Linked DNA regions of Drosophila melanogaster. The protein of the gene in region 4 purifies or fractionates together with the protein of the main gene of each other region. This does not show direct contact. Each region holds a gene or a part of one and is shown on either strand. Other genes may lie near its edges.

The links.
Region 1: the proteins of Lkb1 (region 4) and NAT1 purify together in Drosophila melanogaster (affinity purification with mass spectrometry, with the first as the bait; one large-scale study listed by BioGRID). This does not show direct contact.
Region 2: the proteins of Lkb1 (region 4) and Ctf4 purify together in Drosophila melanogaster (affinity purification with mass spectrometry, with the first as the bait; one large-scale study listed by BioGRID). This does not show direct contact.
Region 3: the proteins of Lkb1 (region 4) and pav purify together in Drosophila melanogaster (affinity purification with mass spectrometry, with the first as the bait; one large-scale study listed by BioGRID). This does not show direct contact.

The regions. Positions count from the first base shown.
Region 1 is NT_033778.4:12,914,041-12,919,503, forward strand, and holds the start of NAT1 (NAT1), read left to right. Parts: upstream 1-1,953; 5' UTR 1,954-2,024; intron 2,025-3,817; exon of another isoform or gene 3,818-3,864; intron 3,865-3,954; 5' UTR 3,955-4,357; coding exon of another isoform or gene 4,358-5,463.
Region 2 is NT_033778.4:13,979,549-13,985,768, reverse strand, and holds Ctf4 (chromosome transmission fidelity 4), read left to right. Parts: upstream 1-2,451; 5' UTR 2,452-2,533; coding exon 2,534-5,221; 3' UTR 5,222-5,407; downstream 5,408-6,220. Other genes in the region: CG8067 (uncharacterized protein), read right to left, coding at 963-1,571, 1,629-1,884, 1,946-2,082.
Region 3 is NT_037436.4:4,240,938-4,247,446, forward strand, and holds pav (pavarotti), read left to right. Parts: upstream 1-1,796; 5' UTR 1,797-1,940; coding exon 1,941-1,951; intron 1,952-2,010; coding exon 2,011-2,769; intron 2,770-2,827; coding exon 2,828-3,377; intron 3,378-3,437; coding exon 3,438-3,759; intron 3,760-3,814; coding exon 3,815-4,365; intron 4,366-4,426; coding exon 4,427-4,897; 3' UTR 4,898-5,296; downstream 5,297-6,509. Other genes in the region: Sqor (sulfide quinone oxidoreductase), read left to right, coding at 15-239, 298-498, 557-766, 967-1,153, 1,207-1,523.
Region 4 is NT_033777.3:13,674,465-13,680,618, forward strand, and holds Lkb1 (Lkb1 kinase), read left to right. Parts: upstream 1-2,084; 5' UTR 2,085-2,480; intron 2,481-2,551; 5' UTR 2,552-2,645; coding exon 2,646-3,748; intron 3,749-3,814; coding exon 3,815-4,009; intron 4,010-4,070; coding exon 4,071-4,228; intron 4,229-4,285; coding exon 4,286-4,533; 3' UTR 4,534-4,602; exon of another isoform or gene 4,603-4,676; 3' UTR 4,677-4,966; downstream 4,967-6,154. Other genes in the region: CG9588 (uncharacterized protein), read right to left, coding at 1,039-1,272, 1,337-1,663, 1,964-2,065; omd (oocyte maintenance defects), read right to left, coding at 5,267-5,548, 5,608-5,750, 5,815-6,154.

The DNA.
Region 1 (5,463 bases), on a different chromosome or scaffold from region 4:
AGAATTTATTTGAAAATTAAGAAGACAAATTATTTAATTTCGACTTTATGAGCTTTTGCGACGCCCCGTCCACCCCCTTCAACGGTTCCAGCGACCGCTTTAATTTTCAATGCGAAACGGACGATAGGGATTGCGATTTCCGGGAAAAGGGTTCGCTGTCGGCCATTTTGAGCGCGGGAAAGGCTCTTTGCATTTTATGCGCGACGCGGTAATAAACACGCAGCCACGGCTTAGACTACAATGTGGAGTGGGCCATCGGACTTGGCACGAGCACGCCACAAACTTAATTTCATTTAGTTTTATGTACATTTCATTAAGCAAAAAATGTCCAGGCATCGCGACGGCGACCAACATTCAAGTGTCCGGACTTTGGACTAGGTCCTGCACATAAACCCGACTACGGGACTATATAGCTATGGCGATAGCGATAGGGCGATGGCGATGGCAATGGCGACTTGGGGACTTGGGGACAATCAAGATAAATAGCAAACGGAATTTTTATTGCCGAAAGGATACGACGAAGGGCGAAACAAAAGGCAGCCCAAAGAGTTGAAAGTGTTGACGTGACTACTGTGTCCTGTGCCCTTTGTCCTCGATGTGTGCAGCCAGCCAGGATAGTCTCACAAACTTACTACACACACACACACACACACACACACACGCACACATACGGGCCACGGAAAATTGTCAGAATGTTTTGTATTTTCCAAATTTATTGCCGGTGGCCGCATTTTGTTGTCGCTGCGACCATAGATTATCTCATCGTTTAGGAGGCCCTAATATGCGCCGGAGTCAGTCGCAATATGATTTATAGCCAACCTACCGATATATGATCGTTGCGGGCTTGTTTACCTACGAATCCTTTAGCTTCGCCTTTGCCTTCGTGTCCTTATCCTTCCACCTTGACGCTTCCAGCAGCTCCAGCTGCGAGCCGAACATTTTTAATTACGCTTTTTACAAGAAAATTAAATGGCAACATGTCATCACTAATTAAATTGTTCTTCTGTTCGGTTTCCCACTTCTTCATGGTTGTCCTGCGAGTGCGACAGTGTGTGAGTGTGCGTGTGTGTATATTTGTGTGTGGAAAACCAGCAAGGAGTTGGGGAGGGAAAAGGGTTGTAGATGACTGCGTTGATAATGCCAGGGAAATACATATATCAAACGAGGCGATAGTGCGGCCTAGGGCACGGACTACAATGTTGATGTGTGCCGCAATATTTAAACTATATCTGTCACTGGTTGCTAACGATCGGTCATTTCAATTAAATAAAATTATACCCTCTGTAAACGCTGACGAAAACAATTTGAAAATGAAGGTAGCAAAATGATGTCCTCGTTTGTGGGCTTAGTAATTAGTTTTAATTAACAAATTTATACTCACAAGATCCAGTTCTAGATATGAACGAGCATTGCACATCAGAGGTAAAAATGTTGTATTGCGCTTAGATACTGTTTTTTTAATATACTCAATGCACTTAGCAACTATAAAGCAAAATCTTTCGAATCAATAAGGATACAATATTAATATACAATATTCGCTCACTAATTTAAAATTACAGTTTGGTCATCTACGAATAATAATAATATTAGTAATAATAGTTTAAATTAGTTTACTTTTGTTATAGTTTAACAAGCAACAACATAAAAAGCAGGTATATCAATTATTAATAAATGAAACTGTTTTTGTACAAAAGATCTGCTTGAAATACGATTTAAATATTGCGGTCGTTCAAAATTTGTCAACACCTAATCGAAATAAAACTTTTGCAGCACTGTTGAGTAGTCGAGCCGGTTCGATAGCTTTTCGAGTCATCGATATTTTTCCAAGTTCCACACCATGGATTGTGAAATAGCTACTTGGCACATTTTTAGTTAAGTTAACAGGTTATCGATTGCTGCATGCGAAAAATCGATACTACTATCTTCTGGCTACACCGATAAAACCAAACGCACATCGATTTTTGTTCCAGCTCTATTTCGTGGAACCTTTGCGTGATTTGCTATACGAAATTACTCAAGAAAAGGTTAGTAAAAATAATTTAACGAGTATACTTTGCAAATGGTTTTTTGCTGTCTTTAGAGAGAATATGGAAAGTACACTTCTTTGCAGGTGGATTTTCCGCATTTTAGCCTATAAATTTTCCACGATGTGCCAGAGAAAACCGATTCTATTGTGTCTGTATAAGTGTGTGTGCTTGTGTGAACGTCCTCGTTTCTTCACGGCGAAAAATCAAGTAGTGAAATCAATAAAAGTGAGGAGCTCCCCTAGATGCCATAGTCGCTCCATCGCGGTAATAATTTTCAAGAGCAAGCAGGGTCGAAATTCGTCAATCAAAACGTTAATTTGCATGAATCATTTCGAGAGAAAAAAAAACACAAAGAAAGTTTACGCGTATGACTGTGTGTGTAGGTACACCTATTTGCGCCACAAAATGGCGTCGGCACGTCGGAAAATCTGAAATGCTGTGTTGACGTTGCCCGCTGCCTTTGCTTGAGTTATCTACAGTGCCCCCTCCCCGGGAAGACAGCCCTCTCATGGAGTTTTTTTTTTCTTCCATTCCATTTCCACAGCTTCACTTTTGGCGTGTGCCTTCCAGCTGCTTTCTGATCTCCCACACACACGCATTGTGCTGCTTGCATGTGTGTGTGCTTTCGTCACTATCGATGGGGGAAAAAGAAGAGTGCGTTTTCATGGGTTTTCTCAAGATATTTGCTCTTGAAGCCCCCGAAAAACTAGTAAAATAAATACTGTTTGCAATGTGGGTGTGCCACTTGGCCAGTTAAACATGCAGACAGCGACAAACACTTGTGCACAAGAGCCGAGCCGAACGCTCGAATTGAGGTCAAAATCATCCACAACTGGGTCTGTGCGGAAGCAGGGGGGGCTCATTTCTCAGGTCGGGGTCGACGCCTCAATGCAGCAGAGGGTGGGTTTTCGCATTGGGGGTGTTTAGTTTTGGCTTATCCCTTCCCCGCACGAAAGACTACATTATTGCAGGCCCAAAGTTCGTATGTATGTATGTGGTGTACTCGCACAATGACAAATCGCAGGGTTGTTTGCGACTTCGTCGTCCTATGGCCAATCAATTAAACCAAGCAAATTGAGCGGAATGGAGTAGTGACTCAGCTAATCAGCAATTGCAACCCCCTGCTCGTTGTGCGCCTCTGCCTATTTCCCGGGGTCAAGAGACTTTAATTCCGTGGCGCAGAAGACCAGCATCGCGTGCGAGCGGGATGGCCAGCTGAATGGAAAGCGGGAGAGAGGAAGAAAGAGAGGAGATCCCCAAAGCTGAGGCCATAAACCCCAACACAAAGAAAGGACACTGACACACGGACGCAGCTTCTAGTTCTTTTCGGTGCATGTGTGTTGGTGTTGTTTAAGTTTGTGGTGGGAGAGAGTGCGCCAAACAAAGAAAGCTGGAACAAAGAACGGCAGGCTACAACAAATGAGTCAATCAAGCGAAAGTAACTTTGCAAAAATAAAACTAAGCAACGGCACAAAGCTGGTTGGCATTGTGTAAACCTGTGATTAATTATAATCTTCCCAGCACTTAATGCTTAAATGGCAATGCCACCAACACTTGCACACATGCGATTCCGTAGAATGCGGCAGTGCCGTTTCAATTGGCGGGAGAGAGTGGAAGTGGAATAAACTTGAAGGTGCTCATCCGAGGTTATTTCCATTAAATGCATATTTTCCAGTTTGGATGGCAGGTGATGTTATTGTTATTGTGCTGGCGCTTGCTCGCAGTGAAATCGAGTGTAAACAAAAACAATCGGACGAGATTAGCAAATAACGTCCATTTAAATAATCCCACACGCACACCACTAGGATCACTTTTCTTTTGTATTTTTGTCACAATTGTACGTAATTGTTGATTCGTCTGATTCTCATTTTTATTAATTTGCCACGGTTCCGGCTTTTGTTTGTTTCCTCCTCCCATTTCTCTCCAGGATTCCCTAAACGCAAGGCCATACCCAGTGTGACGTAACGAAACGGAGAGACGAATCCCAGGTGTTACCACGCAGGACTTGTTACTTCTAGCCTAAAGGAACCAACCAGGAAGAACCGAAATCGGAAGGAACAGTAGCAGAGTTGGATAAAAAGCCAGCACCCATAACCCATAACTTGTCTCTGTGTGCGTACGCGTGTGTGTGTTAGATTTGTGTGCGTTTCGTCGAGTGTCCCCAAGGATCATCAGAACCACAGAGCAGACGAGGAGGATCTAAGACCCTTAACTAGGATCCAGATCCCCAGAAAACGGGGAAACCAACCAAGACGCCAAGAGTAGCCCACTCCGTGCCACCCAAGCACGCACCCATTTCGCCCCCGAGTCGATCAAGAAAAGCATCCACCATTCCTCTATCAACGTACGACGCCGCTCCCCTTTTGCACTCTTACGACGACAGTCCGCAACGTTGGTCCGGAGTCACCAACGGGCACCAGGCAGGCGTCATCATAGATCAGTTTCGGGGCGGTAAAGCGATCATCATTGAGGGAGGCACCAGCACCGGTGATACGAAGAGCATCGGCGGCGGCAGCGATTTACGACTGGTAATAACGGCCAATCCCAGCGAGATCGAGCGCAATTACGAGCAGCCAACCAATCGCGGTGGTGGCGGAGGCGGCGGCGTTATCGGCGTCAGCTGCGGTGGCCAAACCCCACCGACACCGTCGGTCGGCAAAACACTGCTCAACACCAGTCCCAATCTTCTGCCGATCACCACAGCGACCGATACGTTTAACAACCTCAAGAATCTGGTGAAGATCGACAAGGGCTCCTCGCCATCGTCAGGATCGAATTCGCTGGGCGGCAATTACCGCAAGGGCGGCTCTAACGGCTCAGGATATAAGAGCGCCGGCGGCAACGGAGGATCTCCGGCCATAAGCGGCAACAGCGAGGGCGGCAGGAACGGCAGCCGATCATCTGGTGGACCGACCGGACACTTTTCCACTGGCTATAGTAAGAATTCCGTCAAAATTCGCCAACACGACAGTGAGGTGAGCCCAAGACCTCGACGATCTTACCAGGGTGACTCGTCGTCGTCGCGTTACTATCCAAAGAATAGTGACATTTTGGGTCAAGGCTTAGGCGGCAACTCCGACAGCTACAACGGCAGTTCCTCTTCTGGTAGATACCAGCAGCAGGATCAGCAAGGCGGATCGCATCGTGGTAGTCGCAGCAACTATCACTCAAACTCCGATGGCAGCTACAATCGATCAATAAACTCAAACTCCGTGGGAGGAGGAGGGTCTGGGGCAGTCGGCTCTGGAAGCGGTGGCAGCAATTATCGCTCCGCCCGCAACTACGAGAACGGCAATGGGAGCAACGGCACACAGCCACGTTACGGCAGCGGCAACGGGAACGGCAACAGCAGCAATTCCAACTCTTCATCCGGTTACAACGGATCTGCAGCAAGCTCAACCAACAGCAAGTCGTCGTATGGGGCTTCGCGCGGTGG
Region 2 (6,220 bases), on a different chromosome or scaffold from region 4:
GCCCGCGTCCGTCGCGGCGCAGGCAGCTGCAGAGAATCGCCAAACACTCACCACAGCCACCTCTGCGGGATTAGCAGTAGCAGGAGCAACGGAAGCTAGCCCCACATCCTCACCGAGAGCTACGCCCACACCGCCGCCCGTGCCGCCGAGATCTCCGCTGTCGCTGGGATGACTAGCAAAGCAAAAGGCGGCGGCCAACCGGAGCGGGATCACCTAGTTCCTGGTACTAGCCGTCGTCTGCCTTTGATTAGCCTTAAGTCTTCAAGCCCTGCCACCGCTGCAAACACTAGAGCTAGGCCTTCCATGGGTGCAGCCAATAGCAATCACCAAGCTTCGAGAGAATGAGACCACACACACACACACTTTGTACATACACCGCGGGAAGCTTGGGGCACGACTTGGTAGTGACTTAGATGCGCCAAATTAAATTTACAACAGTTACGAGTTAAACAATTGATAAAAGCAATCGAGAATTACATAAAATACATAAAAACTGCTAATGGAACAATATTTAAGCAAGAGCAAATCGTATCTAATACAACTACAAAGCGGTTAGAAGTCTATTTAATTGCAAATTGAATTCAACTCAAGCATATATATTATAGAAATTGTTGTAAATTGTACTTGTATATACGTACCAAACAAAATACAAAGCAACGTTAAAAAGTTACGTCCATGAAATGCAAACGAATGTAAAGGCGAAAGGCAACCAAATATTAATTGAAAACTATAGATAACAGAATCGTACGATTACGCTAGATTTATGTATAGTTATACCCTCATAGCAGTACACGAACCGAGCAAACTGACAAATGAATTGAGTATTTACCATTAATTTCATGATTAAACTTTACACAAACATGAATCACTAGTTTAAGTTTCTCAGCAAAAGGAATTATGTATATTTTAATTTAAATTATGTTCAACAACGTCTCCAAATAAAACTGTCAACTGAAGCTAAGCTAATCTCCCGCTTTGGTGTCCAGCTTGCCGCCCTTTTCGATAATCGACCCTAGATCCTTGAGCGACACCTCACCGGTTCCTCTTTCCAGAGGCTGTGGCTGATTGGGACCGGGTTTCCAGCCCACAAAGTAGATGATTTGGAAGGTTGCAGGTATCCCCTTCTCGTTGGGCTTTGCATACAGCTCCTGGTAGATGGCACTGGCCGCGAGCATCGTTTCTCGACTAAGATGAGCGGGTCGATTGAATGCAGCATTGTTCTCTGCCATACCCTTGAGATCCCACATCAGTTCGAACATGCTGGGATAGCCGATGACCAGTTCATCGGTGTCTATTGTCAGCATGGTGAAGCCGGCGCGATTAAGCAGGGAACCAATATCCCTAATCTGAGTGAAGGGCGAGATGTGCGGAGATATGCCACCTTTGCGCTCCAGCTCGGCCAATTGGAGCGAGGAGCGCAGCTCGTAGAGGGTGTCTCCACCAAACATGGAGGCTATAAAGACCCCATCCGGTTTCAGACTCTGCTTAATTCTGACAAAGCAGCCCGGCAGATCATTCACCCAGTGCAGACTTAGGCTAGAGATGACCAGATCCAGTGAATTGTCCTCAAACTGAAAGGGATTCTCATTTAGACTTGCAACTTTGGTCTAAGTAGATTAATTACCCACATCCAGCTGCTCTTCGTCCTTAACTAGTTTCACCATTTTCAGACCCGGAGTGCCCTGTGCCTGCTCCAGCATCGTAGCACTGGTGTCCGTGAGCGTCAGCTGCTCCACACTCTCCGCCAGAATGTGTCTGGACAGATAGCCGCGACTGCATCCGATATCCGCCGCCGCCTTGAACTCCCGCTTAATGTCGAATACTCTGTCAGCCAGGCGGAAGCCGATCTCCTCCTTCAAGTAATCGTATAGTCCAACGTCTTCGCTGTATACGTATATTGTTTACTAATTGAATATATACTCTAATCCTGGCGAGAAGATCTCACCTGAGTGCGGCCCTTTCCTTCTGTAATCTCTTGGCATTGCGGTCAAATATATGTTGCGATGTTTGGGTGAGTGAGGATAGGGCGCGGAGTTCACATTTGACCTTTAAGGTCGATAGTTTTGTTAATTTTCTTAACATATTCCGACTTTTGATCAGAGCAGTGCTGTAATAAGCAACCGGCTGCGGGAAAATGAAAATATTACATTTTTAAAATGGAAAGTCGAAGTATGTATACCCTACATGTCTTATATCTTGTGGATTCTTAAATTTTTCTATTTATGAAAGTAATACCAATGTTGTTTAAACAATTGAAACGTCATGTGTGACTATTTACAAATTATGTATACAATGTTTCACGTATTATTGAATTTAAATTATTAACGGGAACGTGGTGATATATTTTTTTTAATATTTAAAAAGAAAGAGTATTGAACGAACAGCTGTTGGCCAGTGCTGGAAAAGAGCGACATCAAGACATTCCCATTCGGCCGTTGGCTTACACTGTTAGGTAGTGCCTATTTGTTTTGGCGCCAAAAGTGACGGGAGGTCATCGCGAGAGATCAATTGAAATTAAGCATTAAATCACATCATGAGCTTCTTGCGCAGTGCCCTGCGCTATGCCCACACCAATGGCTACACGGGACTCCTTTACACTCCGCGCGGCGAGTTCATCATCACGTGCGGCACAGATGGAGACATCCGGCACTGGACCTGCATTAGTGACGACGATCCACGCTCAAGTTGCCTGGGCGAGTTCGTCATGTGCATAGCCCACACGGGAACCCGTTTGCTGGCCTCGACGGATCGGAATACGATCCATGCCTACACCTTTCCCGAGATGGACAGCGATGGCATCCTCATGCGATTCACGGCACCGGCTACGTGCCTCAAGGTATCCGGTGGCTATACTGCTGCCGGCAGCGAGGATACCACTATAAAGGTGCTTAAGGGAGATACAGCTGGCAACGAAACGGTGCTGGAGGGGCACACTGGTCCCATTCTGGCACTGGACTTGTTTGCGGAGCGAAAGCTGCTGGTTTCCGTGGCCGGGGATGGCCAACTGAAGGTGTGGAACTTCGAGGAGGGCAAGGAGCTGAAGACCATTGGGGGCTTGCCAAAGGTCAACAGTTTCGAGAGCGCCAGCCTGTATGGCACTCCGCATTTCGAGCCACAAAGCGGTGAACTTCTGGCCTATGCCGTTGACAACGAGATTGTGGTCCTCAACACGGCCAACTGGGAAGTGGCCTTTAAGCTGCGCGACGACTCGGTGTCCAGTAACTACAGCTGCTGCCAGTTCTCGCCCAATGGTGAGCGCCTGGCCGCCGGAACAACCAAGGGCGAGGTGAGCATCTTCGATGTAAAGAAACGGAAGGCAGTAACAGTGGAGATTCCGCCAAGCGACTGCAATGCCATAACATGCCTTGCCTGGAATCTGTCCGGAGAGGTGGAGGTGGCCTTCTGCGATGCCACTGGCCAGCTGGGAACCGTATTTCTTGGCGATGCAGTCGACACAGGCAACGGCGATGGATTGGTGGACGACCAAGCCGAGCTGTTGGGCGATGACTATGAGTTTGAGGCCGGCGATGACGTGGACACTGCAGCAGACGACGGCGATGGCGTTAGTCTGGAACAGCTTAAGCGCAAGGTGATGAACTTTGCGGATCCCGTAGATCACGATGACGCCTCCAACCAATCCCTGGACAGCAGTAGCCGAACTGTACCTGCACCCGTTGCCCCGCAAATCAAGCTCTTCAAGCAGCAGACGGCCTTTCAGCCCAGTGCCACACCGGCCGATCTAGAGCATCGCTACATGGCATGGAATGATGTGGGCATTGTTACCGCCCATGTGGAGCCCTCAGGCGATAGCTCCATCGATGTGGAGTTCCACGACGCTAGTATTCACCACGCTCTACACATTAGTAACTACAATCAGCACAATTTGGCCAGTGTGAGCAGTGGAGCTTTGGCATTGGCCTCCAACGAATCCAGCAAGTTAGTAGTCATTGCTCTGGCCGCCGCCGGAAACAAAGAGTGGTCACTCAGCCTCCCGGATTGCGAGAGTGCAGAGGCTGTTGTGGCCACGCGATTTCTAGTGGCTGTGGCCACCAGCTCCAGTTTTCTGCGTATCTTCACCGTGATGGGTACACAGCGTGAGGTGCTAACCATACCAGGACCAATGGTGGCTATTGCTGGACACGAGCACAGCCTAATGGTTGTTTACCACAGTTCCGCGCCCAGTCAGACGCAGCAGCATCTCGCCGCGATGTTGGTGAACATAAATGGATTGAGTTTGCGACAAGAATATCTGCCCGTTCCGCTGACTCCAGGCCGGCAGCTCACCTGGTTTGGGTACAGCGACACCGGATCGCCGAGTATTGCCGACAACATGGGTCTGCTGCAGTTGTATCGCCGGAGCAGCAACGCCTGGTTCCCCATCTGCGACACCATGAAGCAAAGCACCAGTGTGTCGCACAACTTCTTTGTGGTCGCTGTATCCGAGAAACGTCAGATAGTCCAGGCGGTCCTGTGCCGCGGTACCTCCTATCCCATGACCAATCCGCGTCCCATGCTCCAGGAACTGCGTATGCAGATCCCGCTCTGCGACGTCGAAGTGGAAAAGTCCGAGCTGGAGGATGCACTGCTGCGGTCCAGTCTGATGCAAATGGATGGGGCAGAGAAGATGCAAAAGGAGACGGCCATCAAGCTGTTTGCATTGGCCTGCAGCAGCGAGTGCGAGACGCGAGCTAGGGAATTGATCGAATCGATTGCCTGCACTGATCTGCTTCAACTGGCCGTGAAATACGCCACGAAACGTGGACGCATCCACCTGTCCGACCGTCTGTGCGAACTGCTACCTCAATTGGAGGCGGTCCAGGAGGCACGCAAGCAGCAGACTTTGTTGGGTGCCAGCGGCATTGCGGCCACCATTGTTCTGCCAATGACTCCCACATCGGCCTCACAAAGCGGCCCAAAACCCAAGGCCATCGAGCTGAGCTCGGCCAAACGGGGCACCCTGAAGAGATTGGTCAATTCACCCAATATGTTTAAAGCAGCAGCAGCATCGGCAGCATCCCGGCCCTCGACTCCGGATATCACACCCTCTCCGCTGGACACCCAGGAAAACATATTCGGCGAATCGGAATCCGAGGTTCCCATGGGTAAAGCCACCGATCACCGGTCCCCTTTGAATTCGGTTAATCCCTTTGCTATGAAGCGCAAACTGGGCGACACTGGAGTCATCTTTGGATCCGAAAAGCTGAAGCTGGCAAAGAAATAGTCTGTTTGTAGATTGATAAGTAGGTTTAAGATAAATATATTATATAAATAATGTGTAACGTTTATCCCATTCTGTGAGCTACATGTAAAATAACAAATTTTTATTTGAGCTTTTTATGGAACAGAATTGTTAAGGATTAATTTGCTTATTTAAATTTAAAGAATAAAATATACTTTTATTTATATTAAAATGTATATTCTTTAAAAAGCGGAGGGTACAAGTTTATTTAAAATATGATCAATATATTTTTAAATATTTTAAAATTCTACAAATTAAACATTCTGGTCTCCAAAGAATACCGTTGGTATTTTTATCTTTGGAATTAAACCAACCAAATAGTGTGACCAAACTTTGTAAATGACATTAATCGATCGAAACGATCATTTTAGGCTGGATTTTCCACGACTTTCAAGTCAAAGTTATGTGTTCGTTTAATTCTATTTTGTAAATAAGTGTTACACGCTCAAATTCCAACATAAAATTACACACTCATACACATAGGAAAAAACACAATATAAAGGTTAGAAATAATAAGCAAAAAAGGTGCTAGATATATCAAAAAAATAAATATATATATTTTTTAAATAACAAACTAAATTGACAGTTACATACACGTATGTAAGTATTGCGGCAGCGAGTGCTTCCTTTTGCGTTGTTTACGAAATTCTCGCCACTGGAAGAAAGCTAAAGAACTCCGTAATGAATTTCCAGTTCCAGCGAACTGATCACCGCTATTCAGAAGGCTCTCTGCTGCAGACGCAAACACACACACAAGCAGGCAAACACACAGGGACATCGTTAAAATCTAAAGATGGAGAGACTCTATTTCCAATTTAATGTTGAATTAGTTTTCGTTGAAGCCATTTTTTAACCCAACAACTTTTTTAAGAAATCCCCGTCTGGGTAACCCGTGCATATAAAACCCAACGCTCGCGCATCACTCTCTTCATTTGTTACCTGAACGTTACGCCGTGCATTTCGATCGTCAGCTGAATAGTA
Region 3 (6,509 bases), on a different chromosome or scaffold from region 4:
ATAATTCCCCATAGAAACATTACTACCAACCCATGTTCACCCTAATAGGAGGTGGTATGAAGAGATTGGATCAGAGCCACCGCCAAATGGCCGATGTGCTGCCCACAAAGGCCAAATGGGTGAAGGAGAAGGCGCTGGAGTTCGATCCGGATAATAATACGGTTAGCACTTCTGGTGGCAAGACCATCAAGTACGACTTCCTGATCATCGCCACCGGACTGCAGCTCAATTATGGAAAGGTACGTAGGGTATCAGTACGTTTAATAGTTGCTAATATCCATATCCACATATCCATAGATACCTGGCCTGGTGGAGGCCCTGGAGACCCCCGACAGTAATGTTTGCTCCATCTACTCGCCCAAGTACGTGGATCATGTGTACGAATGTCTGCGCAGGACCAACAAAGGAAATGCTATATTCACGTTTCCCAATTGTCCCATTAAGTGTGCAGGTGCACCGCAGAAAATCGCCTATATATCTGAGCACTACTTTAGGAAGGTGTGCATCATTTAGATAGAATATCTGGCAAACAACTTCAATTTGAAACCCTTTTCAGATGGGTCGTCGCGACAACGTCAATATCATCTACAATACATCGCTTCCCGTGATTTTTGGTGTTAAGCATTACGCAGAGGCCCTGATGAAACTGATCAAGAGGAGAAATATCACGCTTAATGTTCAAAGAAATCTCGTTGAAGTGAGACATAAAGATAATATAGCCGTGTTCGAGGATCTCGCCAAACCAGGAGTTCACTATGAGGAAACGGTAAGTGCTGGTCAATTAATTGGGTATTCTAGATACTATATAGATCTAGATCTAGATCCTAGAACTATATCTTTCTACTTAAAGCGAGAAATATGAAGAGTAGGTTAACTAAGATCAATTTTAAAGTCGTATAGTATTGCAGAAATAGGAGAATTGAAGGCCATGAAATTAAACTTATATAAGTATTATATCTTTCTCAGTACTCCATGCTTCATGTGACTCCGCCGATGAGCACTCCGGATGTGGTGGCCAACTGCAAGAAACTGGTAACCCCCACTGGCTTTGTGGACGTCGACCAGTTGACGCTGCAGCACAACAAGTACAGCAACGTGTTCGCCATCGGCGATTCGGCGTCCAGTCCCAACTCGAAGACGGCCGCGGCGGCAGGTAAATGGGTTGGGAATCCTGATCAGAATATTCAATTGATTTTTCACCTCCAGCCGCCCAATCACCGGTTGTGTTCAAAAACGTAATGGCGGCGATCGAGGGCAAAGCCCCAACGGATATCTACGATGGATACTCGTCCTGCCCCATCGTCACCGGCTACAGCTCCTGCATCCTGGCTGAGTTTGATTACAACCTCACCCCCGTGGAGACCTTTCCATTGGACCAGTCCAAGGAGAGGTACTCCATGTTCTTTATGAAGAAGGAGCTGATGCCGGTGCTCTACTGGAAGCTGATGATGAACGGCTACTGGAACGGACCGGCACTAATGCGGAAAATTTTCTCAGTGCTAAAGTTTAATAAAAAGCAATAGGGACCTCAAATGATCTTTAATTAATTTTAAAAGAATATTTGGCATCATCATAACCATTCCATACCTTAATATCATACTAATTTATAAACATTGTACTTTTAATTTGGTATGTGAGATCATAAATAAAAGTATTAAATTAGTTTAAAATCTAGTATATCTAAATATTTTAACCTATTCAAATGGCACGCACTGTACATAGCCTCGGTTTCAGTATGTATCAAGTATATATTGGAGCAGGGGATGGTATTTGCAGCATTAACCGCTTTCTAAAGTTCGGTCACTCTAAAACCAAGCGTGGCGTCGCTTGGCGCTGTAAATTTGAAGGTAACGAACTAAAAGAGAGATCGATTCCAGCAACAAAACAAGAAGAAACCCAACTCCCGTATATCAAATTAGTTGCAAAAACGAGCTGACAACATGAAGGCAGTGTAAGTGATATGACAGTTCCCGAAAGAACAACTCCATCAATGAGAATACCCATTTGCAGACCCAGGACGCCGATGCGTGTCGTCCCGAAAACTCCGCGGGTGCATCAAACGGTGGAGAAACAGCGACGAGACACCTCCGACAAGGCCAGGGATCCAGTGAATGTGTTCTGTCGAGTGCGGCCACTACAATCCGACGCAGATCTCACCTCCCTAAGGGTCAAGAACTCCACGACGATCGCACTGAATCCGCAGGATCAGCTGCTGCAGCATCACAAGCCACACAACGGCGCCCAGCGCGAGGTTCAGTACATATTCAAGCACGTTTTCCAGCCGGATGCCACGCAGCAGGATGTGTACGCAGCTGTGGCCCAGCCGTTGGTGGAGAACCTACTGAAAGGCCGAAACAGTCTGCTTTTCACCTACGGCGTGACTGGAAGTGGAAAAACGTACACCATGACCGGCAACCTGCGACACCGCGGCATCATGCCGCGCTGCCTGGACGTGCTCTTTCGCACCATTTCAGATTACCAGGCCAAGAAGTTCGTCTTCAAGCCGGACAAGCTTAATGGCTTCGAGATCCTGTCCGAAGAGGATGCGCTTTTGGAGCGCCAACACGAGATGAACCAGCGTTTTGCTGGCTCAGGACGATTTGCCTTCAGGCACAAGGACTCGGATCCGGAAATTGCATCCCAGGCCTCCGTGGAGCCAATTCCGCTGCTGGGTTTGGATGAGGACAACATGTACTCGGTGTTTGTCACCTATATTGAAATTTACAATAACAGCGTCTACGACCTCCTTGAGGACTCGGGTATACAGAAGTAAGTATTTATTAAGCATTACATTTAAAGAAATCTAACTGTATTCTTGACCCGACAGGACTTTGCAGAGCAAAATCATTCGTGAAGATGCCAATCGACACATGTTCGTCCACGGCGTCACAGAGGTGGAGGTCAAGACCGTGGAGGACGCCCTCGAGGTCTTTCAAATGGGCCAGAAGCGCAAACGAATGGGACACACTGTTCTCAATGCAGAATCCAGTAGGAGTCACTCGGTGTTCAATATACGCTTGGTGCAGGCGCCCACTGATAGCCAGGGTGAGAATGTGGTTCAGGACCGGCAAAACATCACAGTGAGTCAACTGTCCCTGGTGGATCTGGCGGGCAGTGAGCGATCCTCAAGGACCAAGAACACCGGTGTGCGACTCCGTGAGGCGGGCAACATCAATAATTCGCTGATGACGCTGCGCACTTGCCTGGAATATCTGCGCGAGAACCAACTCGCGGCTAGCAATGGATTGGCACCCAAGAAGGTCCCCTATCGAGACTCCAAGATCACACACATGTTTAAAAACTACTTCGATGGCGAAGGCCAGGTGTCCATGATTGTGTGCATCAACCCAAGAATTGAGGACTATGATGAGAATATGGTAAACTATTTTTCTGACAACAATGTACTCTGGTCCCTAAAATTTATTTATCCCGTTTAGCAAGTGATGAAGTTCGCCGAGATGACCCAGGAGGTGCAAATTGCTCGGGCGACTCCTATGAAGCAAGATTTGGGTCTGACTCCCGGCCGTCGCAAGGCCAACAAGCTGTTCAAGATTGCCGTTAATAATCTAAACGAGCTGGGCATTCCTGAGGCCAAGGATTTGGAGGTGGACGTGGGTTTGGTGTACAGTTTGGGACCCGATTTTCCCGCCTACGAAATGGACAGTCCCGAGGCACAGATCAAAATCCGCGAGCTAATGCATTATCTGGAGCAGCGCATAGAAAAGCGAAAGAAGCTGCGTGCCAACTTGGACATTAAATGTAAGACGTCACTTTCTTAATCTTAACATTGAAATACTAATTCCACAACTTTCAGGTGACAGCTTCCGGCAGATGCTGATGAACCTTGACCGCGACAATCTTCAGCTGCGCACGGAGCTCGCCTCCTTAAAGGCTGTTTACAAGCAGGAGCGCGATCGCAGTGCGGCACTCGAGAAGAAGGTTCGCATCCACGAGAGCTCCATTGACGTGCTTAACAATACGCTAAGCAAGCAAGAACGGCAGATTGAAGAGCTGACTTTCAAGCTGAACGAGAAGGAGAATATGCTCACCCAAAAGGAGCACGAGAAGGAAAAGCAAAAGAAGAAGTTCAGCTCCAAGCTGGCCGTTGAGTCGGACAAAAATAAGCGAGAGTTTGAACTAAAGCTGCGTGAACAGCGAGTGAAATTGCAGGAACGCATGCGCATCAAGGACGAGAAGTTGCGATTGGTCTCCAACATTCTGCAGTCCGAAGATCTGCCCAGTTTGCCGCGGTCACAGAGCTCGGAAAACATACTTAATGAGAAAGATCGCGGTGCATATACGGCGCGCACGGAGGAGTCCTCGGTGCCAGCTACACGAACAGATATATATGCAACGCCACGTCATGTAAGTGTATGATTAATCCTAGAATATTGCAATATCTATTGATAATTTTATATCCCAACAGGGTGCAGCAGCGGCCAACAATCGGCATAGACGCTCTCGATCCGCAGGCGACAAGTGGCTGGAGCATCGGGCAGCTAATCCCGTTCCGCTTGGCACTATTATGCAGCCGTATCTGAAGAATCGCAAATCCGTAACGAAACTAACCGACTTGAAGGAGTTGACTGCTCACGGAACTACGAAGTACTGTCTCGTCTCGCAGGATGCGGATACGGATGGCGATGTGGAGACGAAGCTGTATAAGGGCAATGTAATTCCCACTTGTGGCGGTGGTGCCCAAGTTGTGTTCAACGATGTGGAGTGCCTCAAGCAGAAGTCACCGGTTCACTCGCCCACGCGAAAGCGACCCAGCAATGGCAACATTTCGGCTCTGGGCGGCGGTGCAGTGCCCAGCACGGTCACCTCAGCCCAGGACGTAGCCTCCCGCTGCAATCTCGGCATTGAGGGACACAGCAGCAAGAAGTCGAAAATCTAAAAATGACTCAGCGTGGAATTCTCAAAGTCAATTACCCATTTAGTTCATAGTTACTTAGTTTCCATAACTTAAATTTAAGTTTATTACTCACCCACTTCGGTTTTTGGAGTTGAATCGCATTGAAGTGATTTGTTTGATTAAAGAAAAGTTAATCTGTATAAATAATCCCGTAAATGAATTCGCAACCCCTCGCAAATGGAAATGTTTCCTGCTCCAAATAGTCGGTACCCGGAGGGTATCTGCCAAGAGCAGTTGTTAGAAACTATCCAAGCATCGTCCAATCATAGAACTACTCTAGTGTTATTATAAAGTATTAAATATTTTATTGTTTTTCGGAGTGAACCCAACTCCAGTCCAGTCACAAAATGAACAAATAAAGTGAATTACGCGCATATACTGAAAGTGATCAATTTGGTTTTTATCAATTTTAGATTTTCTGGCTGCAAAGCTCCCAGAGTTCCGTGAAGCAATAACATGTGGCACATAGATGGTTTTAACTATTTTTATTATTATTCCTGCGTTTATTCAGATTTATGCTTAAACCGATAAATTTTATTGAAATACATACGGTACCATTACACATACATATTTGTAGATTAATTTCAATTACTAATAAATCAGTCTATAATTAAAATATATGTTCGCTTAATGATTTCACGTGTGTGAGTGTTGTTGTGTTGCAGTGTTCATGTTGCAGTTGCTGTTTCGTGGGTGTGAGTTGCTGCTCGATGAGTTCGGCAGATGACTCTTAAACGCTATGTGCGGCAAATGTGGCAGGTTCCTGGCAAATGAGGAATTTCGAATTTGGAATTGGAAGCCAATATCGCTAATGCTACTGCACGACAAATGAATCAAATCAAATGTAAAAGGGAAACAATCAGAACGTGATAATAGAATTTAGGTACATACCCGTTCAAGTACAATTAAACAAAACAAGTTGGACGAGACGAAACAAAACCACAAATGTAAACATAATAGGCGGCAAACTCAACTCAAGTGGTGGGCCAATATTAACATATCCATCTTATCCAAATTTCATTTAAACAAATTACAATTTAATCAATATAAAGCTCTGTTCTCATAAACGCTCTCTCAGGTTCACACGACGCGAAACAATTATTTGCATCTGCAGTTGTAAATCTGCGCTTTATAATACGTAATCATAATCATAATATTATCATTAAGGTAATCGATTCTTGCCATATACACAATAGCAATAAAAACTAAGAAGCGAAATTATTCTACGGTGGAAAACGAATTTTGGCTATGAAGCAACGTAATTTAAAAGGGTATTATTAACAATATACACTCACAGCCACAGCCACACCCCGACCACCCGACTACCCTACTCTTCTTTCCCTTAATTGTTTAATGTTTTTTGTGTGTGTGTTACGGTGTGTGTGGTGTTAATGGTGTGTGTGGTGTATGTGAGCAGTTGCGTTTTGTTGGCAAGGCATTCAACATTACGTTGCGGACCCTCACATCCGCGGCATCTGTCTGTGTGTGCTTTTCTGTGTTTGGATGAGTTTGCAATGAAATCTCGCTTGAAGCTGTATACTAGCTGCCCCGTCCCTGACCGTTCACCGCCTGAATCCAAGCGAGACGGCGGCGT
Region 4 (6,154 bases):
TTATTCGCCAGTCGCTTTGCTTCAACAATTTCACTGCATTTGTAATTATCCTTTTTTTTATCGTGGCAATCGGATGCTGCGGCGCGGGTGAAAAAAGTTTTAAACTTTTACGCTGCGTGTTGCTTAAATAGATTTTCGGGCGAAAGCTCGTCCTGCCAAATTCGCTCTCTTCGCGGAAAATCTCTCTCACTGTTAAGCTAACATGTGTCCTAACCGGTTAAGCGAATTCTGTTACGGAATTTGGTTCGAGTCTGGGCTGCAGACTGTTGCATTTAATTTAAAAAAAACCTGATATAAAAAACGAAACAAATAAAATGACTTTGCCATCTCATAAAAACTATTATTCCAATTGATTAACAATACACTCTTTCAATTAAATTGCTCACGTCAGATATATAAATAATTTTATCTTAAGAAGGAGTACAGTTTTAAAGCCATTGTGCCCTGACTAAGCGCTTGAGCATTGGTTGAAAACTTGGCTAGTACCTGGATGTTCAAAAACAGAACTTTTAAAATCGAACATTTCTTTAGAATTTGTTTCTCTGTTAAATTGAAATGTTCATAAGAAGAATAAACCATAGTCTTCTGCAAAAACGTTTATGCTTTTAGATAATAATTTCCAAATTTGTTTTTTATATTTTTAATTATATATCCTTCTTTATTTACCAGTAAAAGCGCTATAAAAACTTATTTGTTAGTAAAACCGCCTCATCATTTTGTTACGCATCATTTCATATTGAATGAAAATTAAATGCAAAAAAAATCGGTCATGTCGACAGAATCCACCGAATCACAATATCATCCTTTTGCCTGTCACCTGTGCACCTTGGGTCACTCCACTGCTGCTCCTTGGCCCACTGACCCGGCTGTCAGTCAGCGAGATGACTCCAGCTGAAATTGCCCTGAAATCGCGTCCAAAAATCAATTTTCACAATTTGGAGCAACCATGTTCGTCGGCCTGGCAGAGATGGGCTGATAACTAAAGTGCAGGGCAGGAGTGCACAGGCAACTCGAAAAAAGCTTAAACACAAAGCTACATCAGTGATCCATCGCCTCGGGCGGCAGGACGATGTTGCAGCCCAGGAGACCGCGTCCACTCCACGTTTTCGGCACCAGGATGAGGTCCAACTGCTGCTCGCCGCGCTTCACTTTCAGCTGGACATTCTGGCTCTGCATGTTGCGCACCAGCTCGCCAATCTGGGCGAGATCTCCCTTGAAGTTGCCGCTATTGATGGAGCCAAAGCGGAGGATGGCATCGCCGGCACAGAGACCCTTAAATGGTAAAGATGGCCCATCTCAATGCTGTGATCTTCGCTTGTTTACTACATTCACTCACAGCTCTTTCGGCGGGCGAATCGGGACTGACCAGATTGACCACCACGATGGCGCGTGCAGGAGCAAGATCCGTGATATTAGCGCCACCGGGTGAACGGTCGCTGTCCAGGTCCAAAGCGGAGGCGCGGTTCACCAGCTCCGGATCTGTGGTGGCAATCTCGCTGTGATATTGGTTGAGCAGCGTCTGGATCTGGTTCATCAGCTCCTTGTGGTCGTTCTGCAGGCAGATGATCGTCTGTCGCGCCAGGCGCACCTGGTAAACGTCGATGTCGTTGCGCGGAAAACCCTCGGCGTCCACCAGTGGTCCACTCATGCCCACATTGTCGTTCTGGAAGGAAGATATCATTATCAATGCTATACAGCATAAACAAAAGAATGTACTCAAAATACAATTGTGTATATACCCTACACCAAAGCATAGGATAATGCTGTAATGCTTGCCCAAGTGGACATACCCTAACCAACAGTAGGGTATTGAATATATCAACATTTGGCTTGGCGGTCCGTCCAAGTTGAAGAACCTGCGATCATGAATATCCACGGTGGTGCGTCACCAACAGCTTGCCACAGTGTGCATACCCTATCCCGGATGCAGGGTATCCCCGGATGAGCAAGCGAATTTACTTACGGCGGCCAGGATCTGTCCGTTTCTGTTGATCTGCGCCTCCAGCTGCTTTTTAGCGTTAATCAGACGCTCCAGGCGCTCCTTGGTCGTCGTCCCAGCGGCCATGACTTCCACTTCGATTCGAGTTATTCCAGCGTTCGTCCCGAAAAATACAAATTTATTATTTTTCGTTAATGTTTTTTTTTTTCAGCAGCGACAGTAGCAACAACAACCAGTGCTCGTGCAGCCCTGGTTGCCCGCGACCAGTGTGACCGTATTGCGGCGAACTTACTTTGGCCAAAAACTAATTGTTAAACAATTTTTCGGAAGGGGAAAAGAACAAATTGAACGGCGAGAGTAAACACAGGAATTCACAAATTTCTATGAGAAACAGATCGCACGACGGTGAAACGAAAGGGGGGAACGCCTTTCCAGCGGACATCGCAGAATAGACGACGGGCGACGAGGGACCTCGAAAAATCGCACGGCAATCAATTCGAGTGTGTGCGAATTGATTACAAAAATAAAGGTATTTCGAGAGGTGAGCGATAAAAGCGCGTGTGTGCCTGGTGAGGATTAGGTGTAGCCATGAACTAACCAAACGTTTTGCAGCCACAGGCAACACAGGGACCACACCGTCCACTCCCATCCGCCGGAGTGGGGCTGCCACCTGCGATATGTGATCATTGGGGCTCCGCGGAGGTTTATGCAATGTTCTAGCTCTCGGCCAGTCGGAGGTAAAGCAGCCGGTGGAGCAGAAGCAGGAGGGGCAGGAGCAACAGGCCAGATGACTGTGACCACCATGGAGGCACAGGTCAAGGCAGCACACCATCATCATCTACATCATCCCACGGGCGGAGGGGCCCAGCACAAGGTGGAGGAGGAGGAGCCGGATCCTGTTGAGGACGAGATGACCGTACTGCTGGCCAATAAGAACTTTCACTATGACGTCGCCTCCGATCTGGACGACGACGCTTTTGTGGAGCTCAAAGAAGACACCGCCCAAGCGGATGATGCGGGCGCGGGCGTTGGCTTCTACAATCCGGATGAACTGCTGCTCGATGACCAGCCACATCCGCAAGTCACGTGGCTGGACGACGACGAGATCGAGACGCTCGATCGCGTGACGCTGGACATGGGTAATATGTTCTTCAATCGCGTCGACAGCCAGGACATCATCTATCAGCAGAAAAAGAAGAGCATTAAGATGGTGGGCAAGTACATAATGGGCGATGTTCTCGGCGAGGGATCGTACGGCAAGGTGAAGGAGGCCATGAACTCGGAGAACCTGTGCCGCCTGGCCGTCAAGATCCTGACTAAGCGGAAGTTGCGCCGGATTCCCAACGGCGAACAGAACGTAACGCGCGAGATCGCCTTGCTGAAGCAGCTGAAGCATCGACATGTCGTGGAGCTGGTCGATGTTTTGTACAACGAGGAGAAGCAGAAAATGTACTTGGTCATGGAGTACTGTGTCGGCGGGCTGCAGGAGATGATTGACTATCAGCCAGACAAGCGGATGCCGCTGTTTCAGGCGCACGGTTACTTCAAACAGCTAGTCGACGGCCTGGAGTACTTGCACAGCTGCCGGGTCATCCACAAGGATATCAAGCCAGGCAACCTGCTGCTCTCCCTGGATCAAACGCTGAAGATATCCGACTTCGGTGTGGCGGAGCAACTGGATCTGTTCGCACCTGACGACACATGCACGACGGGCCAAGGTTCTCCGGCCTTCCAGCCACCGGAGATTGCCAACGGACACGAGACGTTCGCCGGCTTCAAGGTGGACATCTGGTCCAGCGGAGTGACTCTGTAAGCCTTCCTTGTATAATATCATGTATTAAATGTATATACTGTACTAATCTAACGGATTTGCAGCTACAATTTGGCCACTGGACAGTATCCCTTCGAGGGCGACAATATCTACCGACTGCTGGAGAACATCGGGCGAGGTCAGTGGGAGGCGCCCGCGTGGCTATACGAAATGGACGCGGACTTTGCCAACCTGATTCTCGGCATGCTTCAGGCTGATCCCAGTAAACGCCTCTCTCTGCAGGAAATACGCCACGACACGTAAGTAGGAATATTCCTTGATTGCACTTCATGATAACTGATTGTTATAATCTGCTTTTAGTTGGTTCCGATCCGCACCGGTTAAGACCGGCCCACCGATACCCATTCCCCCCCTGAAGGGTGACAAATACCGCAACTCCACGGTGATACCTTACTTGGAAGCTTACCACTACGGCACCCAGGAGGAGGATGTCTACTTTACAGAACACGACGTAAATCGTACGTACCAACATCAATCTAATGCCGAGTGAACTACTTTCATGGTTACCTTTACAGAGGAGCTCGCCCGCCAAGCGGCAGCTGCTGCCTCCGAAATTCGGGCCAAACAGTCGGCGGCAGCCCTAGCCGCCTGCCACACCTACGAACCGCCCTCCACAAGTGCCGCAGCCGCCAGCAATTCGCTGGGCAACGGTAGCAGAGAGGAGGCGCCCGTCAAGAAGAAGGGATCGGCACTGAAGAGGCGCGCCAAGAAGCTGACGTCCTGCATCTCCGTGCGCAAGCTGAGCCACTGCCGAACTTCGTAGGCGCCTTAGATGCCTCCACTAAACATAGATGCTAAGATTTATCGAAAGGAATAACTTTGTTAACAAATTGTGAGCAACTTTTTGGTTTTGTTTTCCCGTTTTTATTCTGTTGTCCTACATTCGCCAAGTATTTGTAACCATAGAATCATGTAGGAAATTCAGGCGCAACCTCGTACCGCCCGAGCAGCAGGAGCAGCAGCGGTCGCATCAACAGCAGCAACAGCCCGCATCAGCGGAGTTGGCTGTGGAATTGGGGAGCTATGGGAGCGACACGAAAGCTATATATCCATGTGACAATACTGTGTATTATATGAAACAAATGAATGCGTAAATTAGTCGTTAATATATTATGATGTACTGAAGGCAGCCGAGGATTGCCGGAGGAGACGGTGCCCATTGGTGCGTCGCACACATAAAGAAATATGTTCAAGTGAAATTGTTTGTTGGCTTCGTTATATTCTAAACTACACACGACGAATGATGCGATTTTCAGGCGCCGTCGGTACAATAACTGCTGGACAGTATTTGCAAGGCCTAGGTTGAGATTTTAATTTTTACAAACCAATGAAACGAAAATAAAAGAACCCATTGAATATCAAAATACAAACACTGCATTTAGTTCGCACATTTCGCACATTCCAAATTCCACACTCAACACTCGCAGACGCTCCATTATTCCATGCACACACGCTCATGCTCACACTACAACATTAGGCTAGCTAACTACGTTTGCTTAATCTATTTCAACGATCTGCAGCCGGGCCGTCGGATCTGGCTCTGAGTCGCCCTCCATCAGCTCGCCCATGATGAACATCTGATGGTAGTGGGGGCCCAGGGTGGACAGCTTACGCTGCATTAGGTGGCGCAACGGGTCCACATATTGCGGCGGCACCTTGGCCAGCTGTGTATTCGTGTTGCGCCAGTGCAGCCCGTTGTTGTCCACGTGAAACAGCGCCGGCGAGGGCACGTGATCTTTAAGATAGTTCCAGATGCACTCGCGCAGCAGCAGGGCAATCTGGAAATGTCATACATTAGTTGGTGCTACTACACAGTTTGGGCAAATAATGGATCTACCTCTGCCGATTCAAAGTGCTCGATGATGAGATGCAGATTGGTGAGTGGAGGTGGAATTAGTTGGCTCATAGCCAGCAGTTGCAGCATCTTCTTGGTGCACAGCATCAGCTCATCGTTCGCAGCAGTGGGCTGGAATCGATTGACTGCAAACGTATAATATGATTAGGCACCTTTATAGAAAATAAGCAAGTAAAGTGACAAGCTCACCATTCTTGCCCCGCCAGTGATGCAAGCAGGTGGCGCACAGTGCGCGCAGTAGCACGGAGGAATAGCAAAGCGCCGGCCTATGACCGGCGATCAGTCCCAAAACAGCCCACAGCACTGGGGAGTTGATGAACGCTCTCCTGATTAGCATGTCCCGCTCCATTGTGACCCTGGTGAACTCCTCATCCGGAAAGGGCAGGCCGTTGTACATGACATCCGTGGAGACCAGCTCGACCAGCAGCAGCGAGACCAGCGAGTAGCCCTCCACGTTGTTGGGCTTCTCCAGATCGGCGCAGCATGCATTCAATGCCTTAAGATACAGCGCCTGCTTCTCCGCATCGCA